4 linked regions of the Schizosaccharomyces pombe genome follow. The gene in region 1 interacts genetically with each later gene. Each region holds a gene or a part of one and is shown on either strand. Other genes may lie near its edges. The genes, in order: sap18, spo20, tbf1 and omh6.

Evidence for each region.
Region 2: mutations in sap18 (region 1) and spo20 together harm fitness more than expected from each alone (negative genetic interaction), as found in Schizosaccharomyces pombe (one large-scale study listed by BioGRID).
Region 3: mutations in sap18 (region 1) and tbf1 together harm fitness less than expected from each alone (positive genetic interaction), as found in Schizosaccharomyces pombe (one large-scale study listed by BioGRID).
Region 4: mutations in sap18 (region 1) and omh6 together harm fitness more than expected from each alone (negative genetic interaction), as found in Schizosaccharomyces pombe (one large-scale study listed by BioGRID).

Annotation. Positions count from the first base shown.
Region 1 is NC_003421.2:2,139,359-2,143,107, forward strand, and holds sap18 (SAP128 family histone deacetylase complex subunit), read right to left. Parts: upstream 1,832-3,749; 5' UTR 1,817-1,831; coding exon 1,653-1,816; intron 1,486-1,652; coding exon 1,212-1,485; 3' UTR 525-1,211; downstream 1-524. Other genes in the region: U5 snRNP-associated protein Prp18, read left to right, coding at 1,832-2,788, 2,834-2,908; putative signal recognition particle subunit Sec65, read right to left, coding at 3,321-3,697.
Region 2 is NC_003424.3:607,257-611,260, reverse strand, and holds spo20 (sec14 cytosolic factor family, phospholipid-intermembrane transfer protein Spo20/Sec14), read right to left. Parts: upstream 2,293-4,004; 5' UTR 2,270-2,292; coding exon 2,111-2,269; intron 2,063-2,110; coding exon 1,760-2,062; intron 1,733-1,759; exon of another isoform or gene 1,564-1,732; coding exon 1,441-1,563; exon of another isoform or gene 1,419-1,440; intron 1,378-1,418; coding exon 1,102-1,377; 3' UTR 558-1,101; downstream 1-557. Other genes in the region: exosome 3'-5' exoribonuclease subunit Rrp6, read right to left, coding at 1-50, 109-375. UniProt on the Schizosaccharomyces pombe protein: Required for transport of secretory proteins from the Golgi complex. Catalyzes the transfer of phosphatidylinositol and phosphatidylcholine between membranes in vitro. Essential for viability and secretion.
Region 3 is NC_003423.3:2,372,056-2,377,044, reverse strand, and holds tbf1 (DNA-binding factor Trf1), read right to left. Parts: upstream 3,121-4,989; 5' UTR 2,872-3,120; coding exon 1,414-2,871; 3' UTR 1,306-1,413; coding exon of another isoform or gene 598-1,305; 3' UTR 558-597; downstream 1-557. Other genes in the region: COG complex subunit Cog5, read left to right, coding at 1-435, 485-557, 598-1,305; SPOM_SPBC19G7.18C (uncharacterized protein), read left to right, coding at 4,121-4,268, 4,317-4,387, 4,434-4,973. UniProt on the Schizosaccharomyces pombe protein: Binds the telomeric double-stranded TTACAGG repeat and regulates telomere length.
Region 4 is NC_003424.3:3,391,238-3,395,938, reverse strand, and holds omh6 (alpha-1,2-mannosyltransferase Omh6), read left to right. Parts: upstream 1-1,694; 5' UTR 1,695-1,989; coding exon 1,990-2,456; exon of another isoform or gene 2,457-2,527; coding exon 2,528-2,814; intron 2,815-2,832; exon of another isoform or gene 2,833-2,910; coding exon 2,911-3,053; 3' UTR 3,054-3,248; coding exon of another isoform or gene 3,249-4,030; 3' UTR 4,031-4,189; downstream 4,190-4,701. Other genes in the region: pdi4 (protein disulfide isomerase), read left to right, coding at 1-254; tRNA-splicing endonuclease subunit Sen15, read right to left, coding at 3,249-3,680; SPOM_SPAC959.11 (uncharacterized protein), read left to right, coding at 3,665-4,030; U3 snoRNP-associated protein Utp7, read left to right, coding at 4,549-4,701. UniProt on the Schizosaccharomyces pombe protein: Probable mannosyltransferase involved in O-glycosylation of cell wall and secreted proteins.

The sequences.
Region 1 (3,749 bases):
TTCAAAAACTAAGCTTTGTTTAGCTAAATAAAAAAGTTTCAATTATTTACTCTCCCTCCGGGATTCGAACCCGGGCTGCAAGCGTGACAGGCTTGTGTACTACCCCTATACTAAAGGAGATTATTGAAAACTTATTTTTTTTAGTTATACATATTGTAATACTCATATTAAATTTAAATGAAATTAAATAATTGAAGGAATATACTTTGGATTTAGTTATGAAACGAAGATATCAGCTTAAAGTTGTTGTAAAAATAATAAGTGATTTTGGGCTGTTAGCTTGTAGCACCGATTCAGAAAATAACAATTCAGCTTCTTACAGCTGTTGCAAACGGAGTAACCTTGATTCATGTTCATTTACTCTAGCAATGATAACATCGGGCTGTAATAAAACTTTATAAATATTTAAGTCTGTTACTTGCCTGAATTATAATTTAACTGTTTACAATCCGTTTTCTGTTTGTATGGGTTGCGAATGGTTTTTTAATTGTATTTAGGCAAAAAAAAAATACGAGTTTTATATTTTGAAAATAGTTAAGTAGCCAAAGGTGAGTTGACAGCATTTTTAAAGGAATAGATATTTACATTATGAGGATCAATGGTGCATTTATCATGCGAATATCAACCATGTTAATAATAGAAGTTATAATTCTTTTTTGAAAAATAGTTTCAATCGGATTTCCGAATGTTAGCGCTATTAAACAATGGAAAACATTAACCGCTTAATCCATCGCTTCAAAAAAAATGATAAAAGATTCTGCTATTTAAAGTGTTGAATCCTTTCCAATGTGAATTATAATAAAAAAAACGCTTTCTTTTCCTACAGCATATATATAAATTTAGCAGAAGTGATTCCTGAATCCTTGATAGGCCTCGAGCTAAAGTATATCTCCATAACTCAATAAGGAAAATAGTAAGTACACTAACAATTTTTTCTTAATGCGTCAAAGGTTTTTTTAAGAGTATGGGAAAAAAAAATTTCTCAACTTAAAGAGCTTCGAATCTTTTCAAAGCTTCAAAGCTTATAAACATACAATATGAGATTAGTGAACAGGGTTGTAGCGGTTTATGATTTTGTATATAAATAGAATTAAGATAAGCTTTTAAATAAATCTTACAATAGAATTCTTCAGTCATGCACTTCGTTTTTTATATCGTTCTCAAACCCATTAAACTTCCAAAAAATATATATGTACCATCCGATCAAGGAATCACTTTTTTATTCTAATTTTATCCTCTTTTATGGTAACATCAATTTTGTCTCCGCATTTTATTCCCGTTCTTTTCAATAATTTGTTGCCTTGAAATAGCTTTGGATTGTGCAAACAAACAGTACCTAGATCCCTGGCTATCGGGCGATCTTTATACTTATCGTAAAAAATTGTTCTAATTTGCAATGACCATTCAGAATGTCTTGTTTCTTCGTTATTCAAAAGAAGTTGATCTGCAATGAGAACTCCCAGTTCATAAAGGGTCATGGTCAACCTAAGATTAATCGTTAGCATAAAAGTTTAAGATTTGAAACATATAAATCTAATTGACATATAAATTGTTCATGGATGATCCTTTGACGGATTTTCTAATCGTAGTCCCAATGAAGTATGAGTTCATATACAACAACTGAAATTTTCCCGTTAACACGATTTACTTACCATCCATAAACTTGAATAGAAGGAATCACGTCTTCAAAGATGTCTAAAACATGATTTTTTGTTTGGAACTGATGATATACTGAAATGAGAAAAGGGCACGGACCAACAGCATCTTCACTTTGGCTTAATTCAGGAGATTGAGAGCGACTTTCACGAATATCCATTTCTAAACCTCCCAAATGGATTTTTTAAAGGAAGAAATTGAACGTAAACGTCGCCAACTAGAAGGAACGAGCGAACTTCCGGTAAAAAAGGCGTTTCGACGAGGGGATTGGGAGAAGGAAAGGGAAAAGAAATATCTGCAGGAAAAACAACAAAAGGATGAGCAAAGAGAGTTGAAAAAAAGAAAGTTGGAAGAAGAACGTCTTAAATATGAAGAAAAGAAGTTACGCATTTCACGACTTGCGAACAAAGAGAGCAGTAGAAATGAAGAGTTGCTTACAGAAACAACAACTCCCTCACCAGCTGTCAAAGCGTCACCTGCAAGTACAAAATTATCTGTCTCCGAAAACGACCGTTTATCAATACCTGAAATCACAAAAGACAACCTCACGTTGACCGAAATTATTGCAAAGCTTCGTGAGATGAAAGAGCCAATTCGTTTGTTTGGAGAGTCAGAAGAGGCTACCATTCAACGATATTACAGTTTGCTAAAATACAAAAAACTGGAAGAAATTGAAAATGAACTCCTTACTAAAGGAGTTGAAACAATCGACTTTGAGCATGCTACTACCACCAAACCCAAAGTATCCAAGCAAGTAGTTGCTTTTCTTCAACATGGAATCCGCATTTGGGACAACTTTTTGTCTTCAAAATCCATCAACTCTTTCGAAAGTTCTGAGAGTCAGATGCAATTAAAAATATTTCGTCAAGCTAAGCAAGATCTTGATGTACTTATACAACTGATAGTCGATGAAGCTTTAAACGACGATATTTTTAAAAGCATAGCTGAAATTTGTTACAGATGCCAAAAACACGAATTTGTCAAAGCCAATGATATGTATTTACGTCTGACAATTGGAAATGCACCTTGGCCTATTGGAGTTACTATGGTTGGTATTCATGAAAGAAGTGCACATCAACGATTACAAGCAAATCCAAGTTCAAATATACTTAAAGACGAAAAGAAGAGAAAGGTAAGATTTTAGATAAAGTACCCAGTCTAACCTTTCACATGTTAGTGTTTGCAAGCTTTAAAGCGATTTATTACTTTTCAGGAAAGAGAGTCATCAAACTTACCTGAATATACGGATTGAAGTACGAAAAAGATGCTATTTGTTGTCGAAAAAGAATTTAATTATACAGTTCACACTAAACTTTTGAAAACGACTATGTCAAACATGGTTTACTAATGATAGAATATTCAAAAATTTCGCCTCTGAATTGGCATGAAAGAAACTACAATGAAACAGCTTCTGATATAACGAGAGGCGAAACATTTATAAAAGACAGAAAAATATTAAGTATGCCACCAGAACTCAGTCTTAAAAAAGCAGAATGTGCTGTGCAAATGAACTCATCTTTAATGAAACTCTACATCCATACTCATTATTAGGAAAAAATTTTTTGTTAAAAGATGACGAGAAAAAAAATTTACTAATATCCATGAGCGTTTGCTAATAGTCGAAAGCACCTATATTCCTAATATTTCAGTTTTAAACAATAAGTTTACTCCAAATCCAAATCATATTCTGGTTCAATTGACTTTTGTTTTCGCTGGCTTGAAGATGCTTGGGGAGTTGGCATAGGAGGAGCAGGGCCTCCCATACCAGCAAGTGCAGCCATTGGATTCATACCTCCAGCTAATCCAGGTTGCTTTTGCATTTCCTGCATCATTTCCTGGAACATATTTTCAGAGATACCACCGCCAGATAAAGCAGGTGAATGAAGAGGTAAAATCGTATTTCCTAAAACCCCCTTAGGATATGCAGGAGGATTTTCAGGAAGACGTGCGGGAACATTTTGAATAGGTAACGATAAAGGATCTGTCTTAACAGTTGGGCGAAGAAGTAGTACTTTGGCGATTTCGTTTATGACATACTTTTCTACATTCACAGTCAGTTAGCATACGAGAAAATAAAACTAATAACAATCTTA
Region 2 (4,004 bases), on another chromosome or scaffold:
TCGATCGCTGGCTTTTTTAAAAGTCCTTGAGCTTTATCGATAGAATAGTCCTATATTCATACGTCTTAGTTAAATAAAATCCGTTTACAATTTCAAAAATTCACTTACAGCTTTTTCAAAGAGTATGTCTAATGTGTCCGATACTTCTGCCCATCTATTATCTATATCTTCAACGTCCACAATATCCTCCGCCCGACTTCTGTCTACTTTAGAAAGAAGCAATTCAATTAATCTCATAAAACGAGAAGAAACACTTTTTATGTTTTCATTGAATTCGGTATCAATTGATTTATAAAACGGTATATCAACCTTTGCCAATTCAGAGCAATAGGCTGTACTATTCATTAAACCCTTAAACAATTCTGACTCATCCATTATGCTATTGTTTACCCTACTGGATCAGTAAGGTTTTTGGTTTGGTTCAGGAATTTTCAAGCACTTTTACCACACGCTCAACGAATTACCGAACTTGAATATAGACATCGTTAAAGTACGAAATACAAGAGCTATTTTTATATATATAAAATATTTTACACAAATGCAAAATCTTAGCAGAATTATGTAAAAGCAATTATTTATGATTAGTTCAAAATTGTGAAACTATTAGCAGGCAACTATAGAGAGGTCTTTTATAATATAGGCATTCAATTTTGATCAAAAAGTAAAAAAATAATCAAAGTAGATGAATTACAAATTTAAAAACTTCGGATAATCTAGAATGGATGAAACAATCAAATCAGTTGGATCATCGAGCGTCCTTTTTTGGAAAATTAATGAACGATATATGTATTGAGACCTTCTATAAGGATTAAGAATTGTAACAGCAACCATCCCATGATGTTGATGATGGATCAACACATGACTTTCGAAATAAAATATTTATATATGCTTCGATCTATATACGATAATTTCGTCGAATAGTAAACCGTAAGTAGAAGGAAGTACCTGAGATGCTGAGTAAAAATAGAACGAAGACCTTTAAGAACTAAAACGCAGAACAAAGTTGAAAGATCGGCAAAAACTCTACACACTATTACTCTTATCAAAGGACAAACCACATTCATCTATTCTAGCAATTAAATCCCGTTCGGAGAAAGAAGTCTAATTTTTGTTCATCCACTGTTCTTCATGCCATGGACCGGCGTCAGATAGTTCGCAGCCACCTGGACATTGGCAGTTTCCACCGAGTTTAGCAGGAAGATTATCAGCAGGGATTTGTTCGAGCAGAGCACTCTTATAGTTTGAGCCTAAAATATGAATTTTTTTGACAGTTGCCTCATCCAAAAAACCTTTGATAAGATTAAAGGCAGAAGAGAATCCCCAAGGAGCGTTAATTACATAAAACTTGCCCATCCTTTCGGGGTAATAATCTTGACTCTTTAACGTGTTAATACTTGAAAAAAAAAAAAAAGAACAAAAATTTCAACATTTTCAACTTACAATGCTTGATGCTTGACGAATGTAGCTGTAAACCGAGTGAATACTAGTAATACCAACACCCTTTAGATCCATGATTGTGCACGAAGTTTCAATCAAGCCTCCTGCTTTACGAGAACAAGCGGGCTGAAGACGGTTAATAAAGATGAAAAGAAATATCAAAATGAAAAAATATATCACAAAAAATTCAACACAGTAGAAAACCAAAAGTTTTTCTATTAAAAAGCCGAAAAACCAGCCTTATATGGAATATGCAAATCCAAAGGAAAGGTTTGATTATGAGAATTACTGGAGATACATTTAATCATTTGAATTTACTTACAAACCGTTTTAAAGCAAGCATTTCATATTCATAAACCAAATTTTGCATCATACGCTCGGGAGTCGTGATTTGGTACAACTTCTTCAAATCAATGTTACCGAGTTGCTCAACGTATACCGGACGGCCGTCGATGTCAGTTTTATGATAAAATTGAGGGTAATATTTGGAAACGGCTTCTTTCTCATCATAATGAAAGTTTTTGATAAGATCATCAACACCAAATTCTTTTCTCCACTTTTCGCATTTAATAAACATTTCCAGCGACTGTTGCAAATTAAATTTACGGGCTCTCAAAAAACGCAACTAAGAATCCATTAGTACAAACACAAAGTTTCCTGCTGTACAACTTACTAAAGTGGCATCGTCTAATCTTTCCGTGTATCCAAGTTTTTGTAACTCTAAACGCATGCTATCTAGCGTAGCTTGCTGTGTAGAATTCAAATGCCCTGGGTGCCCTAATGGAGCATTTGGATTAGTTAGAGGATAAGGATCCGATATAGTTTCTGACATCTTTTTGTTTAGACGATGGTTGTAGAGAGAAGACCTAATGACCCAGTCTGTACAAGATGTATAAAGGAAAAGGAAGAACGTCAGCGACCTTAATACTAGTGGTCATCAGCCGTGGGGGATCAGTCAAGCGTGGGGGCCTTTTACCTACTACCGCAGGAACCTTTGTTGCCATGCTACACCCAACGCTATTGTTATATGTGAGTATGAGGATAAACTTCAGTGTTAAAAATCAGATGAGAGGAAGAAGCTCCTCGTATGAGGTTTAAATTGTGTATAACCAATTTTTCAACTTGCATGAAAAGTGCGACAAATTTGAGATGCAGAATGGCCTTCAACGAGGCGTTGAAGGTAAATAAAACATGGGGAAAAAGTGACAATTTAACTTTGTGGAAGCATTTTTTCTTTACCAAAAAAAACGAACGATAGATAATGTTTATTTTATTTAAGCCTTTGAGTGCGCTTGTGGTGATTTTCTGTCATCAATATTTATGCACCTGACAGCTTTGAAAGAGTAAACCAGGCACTAAGAAGCGTTATAGTACATAGAGTATAGAATATGTAAATGGATGATCATATTGCGATTTTGAGATTGTTGTCTATGTAAAAACGGTATAGGAGTATCGTAGCTGGATATTTATGTGAAGTAAAACAGTTCAATTTTATGATTGTTCAGTTTTCGTATTATAAATGAGGAGTAGAAAATTGTCATAGAGTTGTGATTAAAAAAGAACTTTAAATAAGCAAATATAGTAAAGGAAAAGAAATTTTATTGCAAATGGAAAAATATTTCGTGAATAAGCAATTTAACAAAAAATACATATTGAAACGTAAATAAAGTAATACTATACGACATAAAAAATAAAATAAAATAAAATCTAAAGAATGAATAAAATAAATAATAATTAGACTAACAGCCACTTAAATATATATACAAAATTTTTTTAAAAACTAGTTTTGTCTCGCAAACGTAATTATTGTTTCCTTCTCTTTCGATCGAACTTCAGCCATAATTTTGAAAGCGTTTCTTCCACGCAAAGTTTAACAAAACATACAAGAGTGAAAGGCATTGCTTGAATGGACAGTCCATTTTGTACTTGCATAAAATTTTCAAGTTAGTATCAAATTTTCTACATGTTAGCAATAATACATTTATTTACATTGATTTTACCTTTAAAGACCTATAACAATATAAATTTTTGATTATTATATTAACGTTACGGAAGGATAGTATAATCGTCAAAATATCGTTATAATTTAACAAACGAATAAATGCAGGAAACAATGCATTACGCAAGCTTGTTACTAAAGGCAGGAAGCATAGTTTGAATATAGGATGAAAACCGTGGATATCAATGTTATAAGCATTTAACATTGAATAAGTATGGTAGAGGTGAAAAGAATCAGTACTACGTTTCTTAATTGGCAACCTTGCACCTCAAACCCAGCTGAAGTGTACTTTGCACACGAGTCTATTACTACATGGTTTTTTTATACATATTAAATAATAGCAATGGTTATTTGAACTGCAATAACGGTAACCCTACCCCGATATCTCCAAGTTTGAAAATTTACTGCTTTTATGAAAATTTAGTTTACAGTTTGTTTTGGAAACGATTATGCTATCAGTGCAGAAGCTGAAAAAAAGAAAATTTCGGGATAGTAAAATTGTTTTCATGTCATTTCCCTGGCGGTGGTTTTGAAAAGCCCGAAGTTCCATTCATTTGAGTGGCAACTT
Region 3 (4,989 bases), on another chromosome or scaffold:
TTCAGATTACAAAAAATCAGATTTCGATCCAAAGGCGCAGGCTGAACGAGTGTTAATCTCTGTTCATGCTGACTCCGATGTTAACGAAGACAAAGAAGTCGCCAGAAAGAGGTTGGGGTATGCACTCAAAGAAGTAGAGCGGCAAATTACCGATTTGATTGTGCATGAGGAAACCACGTTGACGAAAAATGTATCTAGTTCTTTGAATGCTCAGTCATATTTGCAAGATATCGAGGGAAAACTAGAACAATTGATGTTGGTTTATGAAAGAATTCGTTCGCTGGTAGTCATTCCATCTGAAAATTTGGGTCCCCTTCATGAGGCAATTGTAAATTTGCATTCAACATACATGACTTTGTATTGGCTTGGGGAGTTTTTTGGCATACAAGCAAAGTTATTTCCCCTTTTCCAGGGATCGATTAATGAAAATGAAAAGTATGCTTATTGTTTTGCTCAATGATTTTGGTATGCTAACAAATTCAAGACTTTCACGCTATTATCAAGCATCTTTACTATTACAAGAGTCTGATCAATTATTAAGCCGGTTTCCATTAATGGTATGAAATATATTTTCTGTTTCTTGGCTAATTATTGTAGAAAAGACAATCGTCCGTTTCTTTACTCTTAAAACTTAATATAACCAATCGATCGAGAATTATAAAAGAAACATCCAGCTATCTATTATCACAAGAAGATCAACTTTCTTTCAGTGTGAACTCTAATGGTTTTACAAATGCTTGCTCTGTTTTATATATGTTAGACAAATATTTGTTAGAACAGGACTTAACTCGTCTTTTAAGTTCTCGTATACAGAAGGCCATTATACAATTCGACTCGATTTTCCAACTGTCCCCCACTACACGAAGACTCCTACATAACAGTACAGATCCTTCAGCGGCAAATTCTACTATATGGTCCAAATTTGAAGACGGGTGGTACCAAATTTCAAAGATTGGTGCACAATGCGTCTTTTGGGAAAGGTCACTTCAAAAGGCTAATATTTGTAATCCAGACTACCCAAATTTATTAGAATATTTTCAAATGCAACCAAATTTTATCCTTGATGGTGCAACTATTTGTATCTATTTTTTCAAAGAGCTGGCAATTTCTATCAGCAGCAAAATGCAAATGCTTGATCGCCGTGATCCAATACTCTTGCGGGTATTCCGAAGCGATTTTCAGCGAGTTACGCATATTGTGGAACAAGCTATTGCCAGGTCATCCTCCGAAATTGTAAATAAAGATACACGGGAATGTTCAATTGTAATGAATAGCCTCCGAGTATTAGCACCAAAAAACCCATAGATTAATAATAATTATAATTTATACATAAAATGCCTCACGCTTAATCGTTTTAGTATTTAAAAAAAAATCGCAAACTTAATCAAGAATGAAATAAACTCCTGATACTACTTAATCTCGCCGAAGATCGCCTGTAACACATTGTAATGCTGCGGGGACCACCTGACCACTTTTGAGAAAAAATAGTTTCATATTGCGAGCCTTATCTTTCAACTGAACTTGATTGCGATATTTCAAAACTTCACTCTTTTTGCCTCCAGGACCATAAAGCTCCAAAATTTGGCTCCACCGGGGACCTTTTACTAAATCAAGACCATCAAGCAATGCTTCCTCTTCCTCTTTTGTCCAAGATCGACGATTGGCTACGCGCCTCGTACGCTTGTTATTTAGGTTATTATTTGTCATATGTCGAACCTGATCATAAAGAACGACACTGGATACATTTTGTGTTTCCGAGGAGCCGTCAAAAGTTGAAGATGGTATACCAAATGCGAGACTATCGGTCAGGTCTGAACCAGATTCTGAAGGGGATGATTCGGCTTCGCCAGCCTTAAACCTCAATCCGTTCTTCTTGGATCGTCGTTTGAATGAGTTAGCAGGAATTGGAATGGCCGAAATAGACGAGTAATTGTTATGGATGTAACAAGCAATCTCGCTTAAAAATTTCCCCCATGGATATACTTCATTTAAAGCTTCCTGTGGGGAGAAGTTTGCCAATCTTTCTTTTCTAGCCGTACATTTCTCTATGATTTGCTTTTCAACATAAGTAAGTTTGTCATCCAGCTTAGCATTTCGTCGGATAAGAAATCGATGGGCCATGTCAGAGGGAAAAAGATCGTTTAATATGTCTCCCTTGGGACGTTCTGCCTGAGCCATAGCCGAAATATATGCTTGGGTTTTGAGTTCCATATAAAGAGTGCCCTGATTAGTGAGGATATTAGATTCGTCCGGAGCAAAAACCTCCAGAAAATTTTCATTCAAATGAAAAAATCCAATTTGTAGCGCTCCATAGACAGCTGCCAGAAAGATAGCAAGATTTGCGCGTCTAGTCGTACTTCTTTGACTCGGCGTCCTCATACCAATGGCAGAGGAATAAATAAAAGATTCTTCAGTATAAATGTCCTTTACCATACGAAACATATTCATTACTTTGGTAAAGGCCATACCCATTTCGGAGGCTGGATTAGTGACAATGGCAGATGCCTCTTGTACTGGCTTCCCAAGAATTGACAAAATTATGTTACTAAGGTTACCAAGAGTAGGAATAAGAGATGTACGAAGAAGTTGCTGAGGTGTAGCAATAGGATTAGGTTGGTTGAAAGCGTAATCCATGCCTTGATTCATGCGTAAATAAAAGTCCGGCGTCATATTAAATTGAATTCCGGAAAGATCAAACCCTAAAGGAATTTCTGCATTTGGTGCAACATTTTGAGGCTCGAGTTCAGAATTTTGTTCTGATAATTGTTGTAACATTTGGCGATCTTGTTCGAGGGCAGTTGATTCTGGATCAATCGCTAAGCGTTTTTGACCCTTAAAATCATCACTAGGGTCTAAGGATCGTTTTGACATTTTCTTGGAAATCGTAGTTTTTCAATTGATCAAAGAAAATACAAACTATAGGTGAGAAGCAGTCTGATTAATCGATTGCTAAACAAATCCAAGGAGCAACGATATCCAGTGACTACCGAATAGTAAATCTTGCATCAAAAGTTCCAATTCTTCTTTACTACAAGGTTTTTTAAAATATATCCTTCCAATGCAGGCAAAGTAACAACCAAATGCGAGTTTTCAGGTATTTGTGTGTCAATTGATTAGGACAGCGTATATTTAATTGACTCGTAATAAAAAATCTCTTGCATATTTCACTTCATTGGCGTTCGTTATTTTTATTAACGAATTCCAATAAGCCAGATGTGTTAAATACCATTATATCGTTGTATTTCTTTACTAATTTTATCAACATTTCATTCCTTTGTAGAAGCGATATCTGGACATTATTAACTAATGAATAAGCTGTAACTACTACTAGTAGTTCCTACATATTAGATACAAAATCCGTCTAAATTGGCAAAACTTTTTAAAAAAAAAGACCAAGTCTGTATTGCATCTATTTCTCTATTTCTCAATTGCCTTCTTGTATTTTTCGTTAGCTGTGTAAAATGCAGTGGCGCTTGTTTAATTTACGAGATAGAATTCTGTGCTAAATTAGTTCAAAATGAATAAATACGGTTAATGACAAAGAATTATACGATATAGACTTATTTAACAACTGGGAAATTCCTGTTGAACATATATGCTTGCAATATTAAAATTCAAAACAATCGTATACCACGAATTGATGCCACCAAGGTCTGTTTCATTGAAAGATGGAATGTAAAACGTAGTTCGAAAAAGTTGCATATTTCATCACAAGTGCTTACCAGCCAAAAAAAATTCAGTCTATCAGTTTCATAAGAAATTTCAACAGAACAATCTTGTGTGTCAAATTTTTATTCAGATACGTATTTCTTATTCATGCCAAGTATCACTGTAGTAGCTGGGAAATTTAGATGGTCCTAATCCCTAGAGATTCTCCTTATTCACATCCTCTTACATCAGTATCCAAACTATCCATAAGGCAACAAGTGATGAGTACTATTACCTTTTAGTAGTAGTATTTTTACATTAGAAAGGCCTCAAATTTTTATATATTGGGTTAAATTGTACAGTCCGCAAATAATTTAATTACATTTATTTCGCTAACATAACCCGTATAAGCACGTTTCATATTCTTGACATTATTGTGTAGCCTCAGGAATCGCTTCCAACGTTTATTATCATGGATTTTTTTTGGGAACGAATGTTAAATGATCCTCAAAACCATTTCAGTGATGACCAAAAGGAATTTCTAAATCATGCAAAATACCGTGTCAAAAGAAATACGATTTTTGGGATGCTAGTCGGGTTTTCTCTCCCATTATACTTAGGTATGAGATTTCGAACAAGCAATTGAAAATAACTTTCTTATTTTTTAGCTCGTAACAAAAAGGTTACTCCAATCCGCTTGTATGCAACATCAATTATAGGAGGTCTTGCTGGAAATGGGGTAAGTTTTAAGTAATACTAAGCTCAAGCTTACAAATTATGAATAGGTTGCTCAGATTACTACTCTGGCATACAATTTGTCGGCTATACGTCAAAGAGATGATGGCTTTGAAATACTTCGCAAAATACAAGACTCCCTTATTCGACAAAGAACAACGATGCGACAAGGCAGATTTCCTTCTTCATCTTCTGAATTCCCTCCAAAAAACTCAAAATATCAATTACCTGGAAGTATGCCGAATACTGGTGCCTCTTCTAGTCAAGATCCCTTTACGAATTCACAGAGTACGGAGAAAGAGGACGCCATGTACTCTAAAGACAATGGCTTTGAAGATCGATCAAAGCCAGCGTCAGCATGGGAAGCTATTCGTAACCGTAATCGAAATACCGGTAACAATTCTTTTCCATTTTACGAAGAAGACTCGAGTGTTAAATCCACAGATAGTGCTTTTAGTGGACAAGAAAATTCTGAAGCATTTCCTTCCCGAACTTCTAATCTAGGCTCTGAACAGTTGGATGAACCTATTTCTCACGAACAGGAGGCATTTGATCAATTGATCTGGAATGATTCATCGTCTTCCAAATAATTTCCTTTATCTCTAC
Region 4 (4,701 bases), on another chromosome or scaffold:
TAAGGATTATATTAGAGCACCCTAACTCATCTCGTCTTCAAAAACTGCGTGCACCGGGCCTATGTCCAAACGGTAGCCCCAATTACAGGAATAGATACAAACTTATAGTTTTTAATTTGCTCATTGCTTTACTAATATTGAGCATCCTGACAATTATTTCAGCTAGCAGGCTTTCCCGTCGGCGTCGACAACTGCTGAACAAGCAACCAGTTTTTGGTTTTTATCATTCGCTTGTAATTGCCAAATCAGACTGAAATGTTGACAATTCAACGACCTAGTAAACGATGAAAAGGAGCGAAAGGTTTTTTTTATATACTCTCTTAGGGTAGCATTTCTAAATCATTTATTGCTAATACACTTGTGATGTTGCTACAAACAGCCCACAAAACTGATTGTTAAAAACTTTGTAGTCCATTTAATTTGACAAGGACTTATACACGAAAACAAAGTACCTCAAAATATGACGAGAATATTATCATTAAAAATTCAGTTTAAGTATACAAAATACCATACTGGCAACCTACCTCAAACGGTCAAGCTGTACAAACGAAAACTACATCGACAGGTCAGCCTGTTTCTCATCAAAACATCACAACGCCCATTTTTATTTGTTCATTAACAGCGAATTGGAAGTTTAAAAAATTCAGTTTTAAATGACAAAGTAAAATTGTAATAAAATAATTAATCGTATTCATACACATGATTAAACTATCATAAAAGAAGAACTACCCAAATGAAAAATGTCAACTGTATGGTTTTACCCAACTGCAAGGATCCAGAGATCATGTAGCGAAAGATTTAGGAATATACAGTTGTCAGAGGATCAACCAATTCCTCTCCAAAGGAGAAGGATCAGGATCACTCCAATCGTTTTAGAATCTGTTGGCTAGGCTACGCAGCATCCTTTAGTCAATTTTCATGGCAAGACGCCAACTCTCAACCTGCAGTCGAAACTGCAAGGACAATCGCCGCCCTGTCTGTACTCTTGTCAACCTCTACACGCCAACCATGTTACACGCAAGATTCTCGAAAGAATCTGAACAATGTAACTTCAGATTCATGATAGGTTATAACGAAGTGCAAACGAGACTTTATATAGTTTGTTGAAAATTACAACCCTAACCCTAGTGACTGTTTTACCCTTAGTAGTCTAGGAATTTTGGTGTTTCCAGAAAGCAAAAAAAAAGGCTCGTTAAAATAAGATTGTGCATTATGAACAACCACAGTATATAATTTGATCGAAAGTAGTGAATTAGTTTGCAGATATTGGGAAAATGTCTTAAGATACATATGCCACTTGGGTTTATGAAATATTATTTTATAACATTTTACTGAGTTTGTATTCTAGAACAGCTGAAGCTTTCCTATACTTAAACTTATTGCTTTTGTTTACATTCATCAGCAACAATGAATTGTTTAATAGACATTAAAAACCATTATAAAAGACGAATGCAAATTTTATAATTCCTTTGATAGAACTTAAATATTCCAACAGTAATAACAGCTCGACATAGCGACTATCAGTACGCTTATGCAAATGTCATTTATAAGATTATGCTCGTTAGCAGATTCTTTCAGTGATCTACCCATCAAACATTGTATACAAAAATTGATTTGCTAAAAATAAATATTTATACTCAAAGAGCTCTCTTTTCTAAGGTCAAATCTCTAGCAGGGTATTAACATTTGCCCTTAACCATTGTCTTAGGCAATTTCAGTTAAATTCCTTCAAATCCACTTTCTATGCGTTACTTTTGGAGTCATACGTTAGTTGAACTAGTTACTTCTCATAACAGGGAAAGTTCTGCTCGTGTTTAAGCTTCATTATGTTTTACGAACTTTTACTTTCCATACTACCAATTGTATTTACCTGGTTGAATGGATTCTCTGTAAATGAACCCAACAATGTATATGTGATTCTTAATGAACCTCAAAGCTCCAATTTGAGTGCTTCTTTTCTGATGTTTACCGCGTACGGTGCCATTTGAGATGTACTTTCTAATTCTGTTTTCTAGTAATGCTGAACTTGGGGAAGTGTTGCGCACGATGCGTAGCGTAGAGGATAGATTTAATAAGAGGTTTCATTATCCTTGGACGTTTTACGGCATGGATGAGTTTACGGAATACTTTATGAGTACGACAAGCACGATTGCGTCTGGTCATTGTGAATACGGTACGAAGGGAATAACTTATACCAATCATTTACAATTTATTCTAACTATCTCTTACTTAGTGCATTGGGATCTTTCTCAAGTAAAACCCCTAGTTGAAAACAATCGACTTTATCAACAACGAGCAGATGCACTTGCTCAAGAGAATCTATCTTACGTATACTCTCCTTTGTTTCACAGTTTTCAAGATTGGGTAGTTCGATCTTTATTATATCATCCTCAATTGGAATACGATTATGTTTGGAGAATAGAACCCGGGCTCAAATTGGTTTGTGAAGAAAAAAAGTAAGAAACTCGGTAAAACTTGTTTATTTCGTTCTTCTTTTTCAGGAAACCTAACTAATATTTTTGTTCAGAGATATATTTTCTACTTTCAAAGACAGCGACATTGTATTTACAAACCACGTCTGTGAACGTAAACACTCTGGTATATATGCTATGGAAGAGGCAATTGAAGAATACAAAATTTTAAACACTCAAGGAGATTTCAGCAATATCTGGGTTTATAGTAACAACTACACCTATTGTAAATACTGGCCTTTTAATGAAATTTTATCTCTAAAGCAAATTCGGCATAATCAGACCTACACCAACCTAATTAATTACTTGCTTGGTTCAGGAGGAACATATTATCATCGCTGGAGTAAGTAAATTGCTTCTTCAATTTTGGAAATGACTTTATTTAACCTGTTTCTAATATAAATGCTTCACGTTGTACTTTTTGCTGACATTTATTTAGCCGAGTCTGATATCCTTTCAGCAGCATTTGGTGTTTTAAGAGCGCGTGCTAATCATATGGAATCAGTGGGATTTTTCTTAAACGATGATGTTCATTATTGCCCAGAAACTATTCCATACACAGGAAGATGTGCATGTTTGTGATATTAATTGATGAATGAGCTTTACAGAAAATTTTTGTTCATACGAATTTGTTTTATGAAAGTTATTGTAATATGTGCATTTTCATTTACAAACGTTGAGACACTTGAAGTGAAAAATTAATCTGGTAGTGGTAAAATTATAGCGTTGTCTTTCCGTTTTTCAATCCTAATCAATAAATATGTATATATCATGTGTTTATTCTTCATCATTTTGCCTTGGTTTTATAAGTCCATCGGTGATCTTGTAATATACTATCGTTGAGTCAGAACACATGATTCCCAGGTATAGGAAAAACTCATCTCCAGAAAGACCTCGAGCATCCTTTACAAGTGGAAGGCTCAGTTTCTTCATAGAATCGAAAACAGAGGACAGAAACTCGATCGAAATTGTCTCTTGGAGGTAAAGCGGCAGAACATATTGCAATTTGTCTTTGAGCTGTCCATTTACGGGAATCCCTGAGAGTAAAGGCCTTTTTGTTTTTAAGTCAATATCAAGAACATGTACCTTTAATTCACACCAACGTTGACCGAGCCTTAAGTCGGTTTCCACTGCTCTCAGTATTCCATAGTATGGATTTTGCTTTTGCTCTTCTACAGCATCGTTAGGGAGAAATGTATTATGTTGCATGTGTATTTGTTTATAATAAATATATCTTTACTTTTGAGAAGGAAAATTTTGTTGAAAAAATGAATTATCGCCTCCGTGATAAAACTTTTAACTTCAACCAAATGGCACAGAAAAGGAACAAGCAGTCAAAAAAGCCTAAACAGACTTCAAAAGGAGTTAAGAAATCCTCAAAACAAAACAAAAACTCCTCTAAAAACAACAAATACCAACAAAACGTCCTTTTACAGAGTATTGATGATTACAACACTACGCAGAGCGTACTAAGAAGTGCTCATAATAGCGGTTCGAAGATGAGCGATATATCCAATTCGATCCAGCTTCTTTCCATGACCAAAAAGCAGGAGAATTAATTCCTGAGCTATTTTCGTTTCATGGTTCATTTCGCAGTTTTGGCATTGGCCATTGTCTGAACTTATAATGTTTTTACTGGGTTTCGGGTTTACTTTTAAAATTTTCTTGTTTTTATTTTGCATACTTAATTTTTATGAAATTTTATTTTATTATACTTGTATTATTTGTAAATAATTGTGGTTTGTATCTAATTGTGTTAGTAGTAGTTTCTGATTTTTTACAATAAGAACGCACAAATCCTATTCCTAGAACTACATTCCACCTGCCCTCAACCTAAACCTACTGTTGGGTCATAGAATCGAAGTCGAACGTAGTGTTTGAATTTTTTAACTATCACTTCGTTTACATAATACATTTGTGTAAAAATTGAAGGGTTTCTAACTTTTTGACTAAGGGAGATACCTAAATTTTGGAAAGAATTGTTTATTAGAAAACTGCTTCATTTTTTTTGTATAATCAGGCCTAAAAAGAAAAAAAAATCTTTTTTCCTCACTAATATCTTTACTTAGTTAGCATTATGTCTGCTCAAAAGTTGAATTTGGAGGATGTTAATGCTTCTACAAAAAAATATTCTAGAGGGCGCAAGCTGAATCCAAAGAAAATCAAGGATAAAAAGCTTCGAAGCAATATTCAGAAAATCGAGGAGAGAATTGAGAATGTTGAGTCTTCC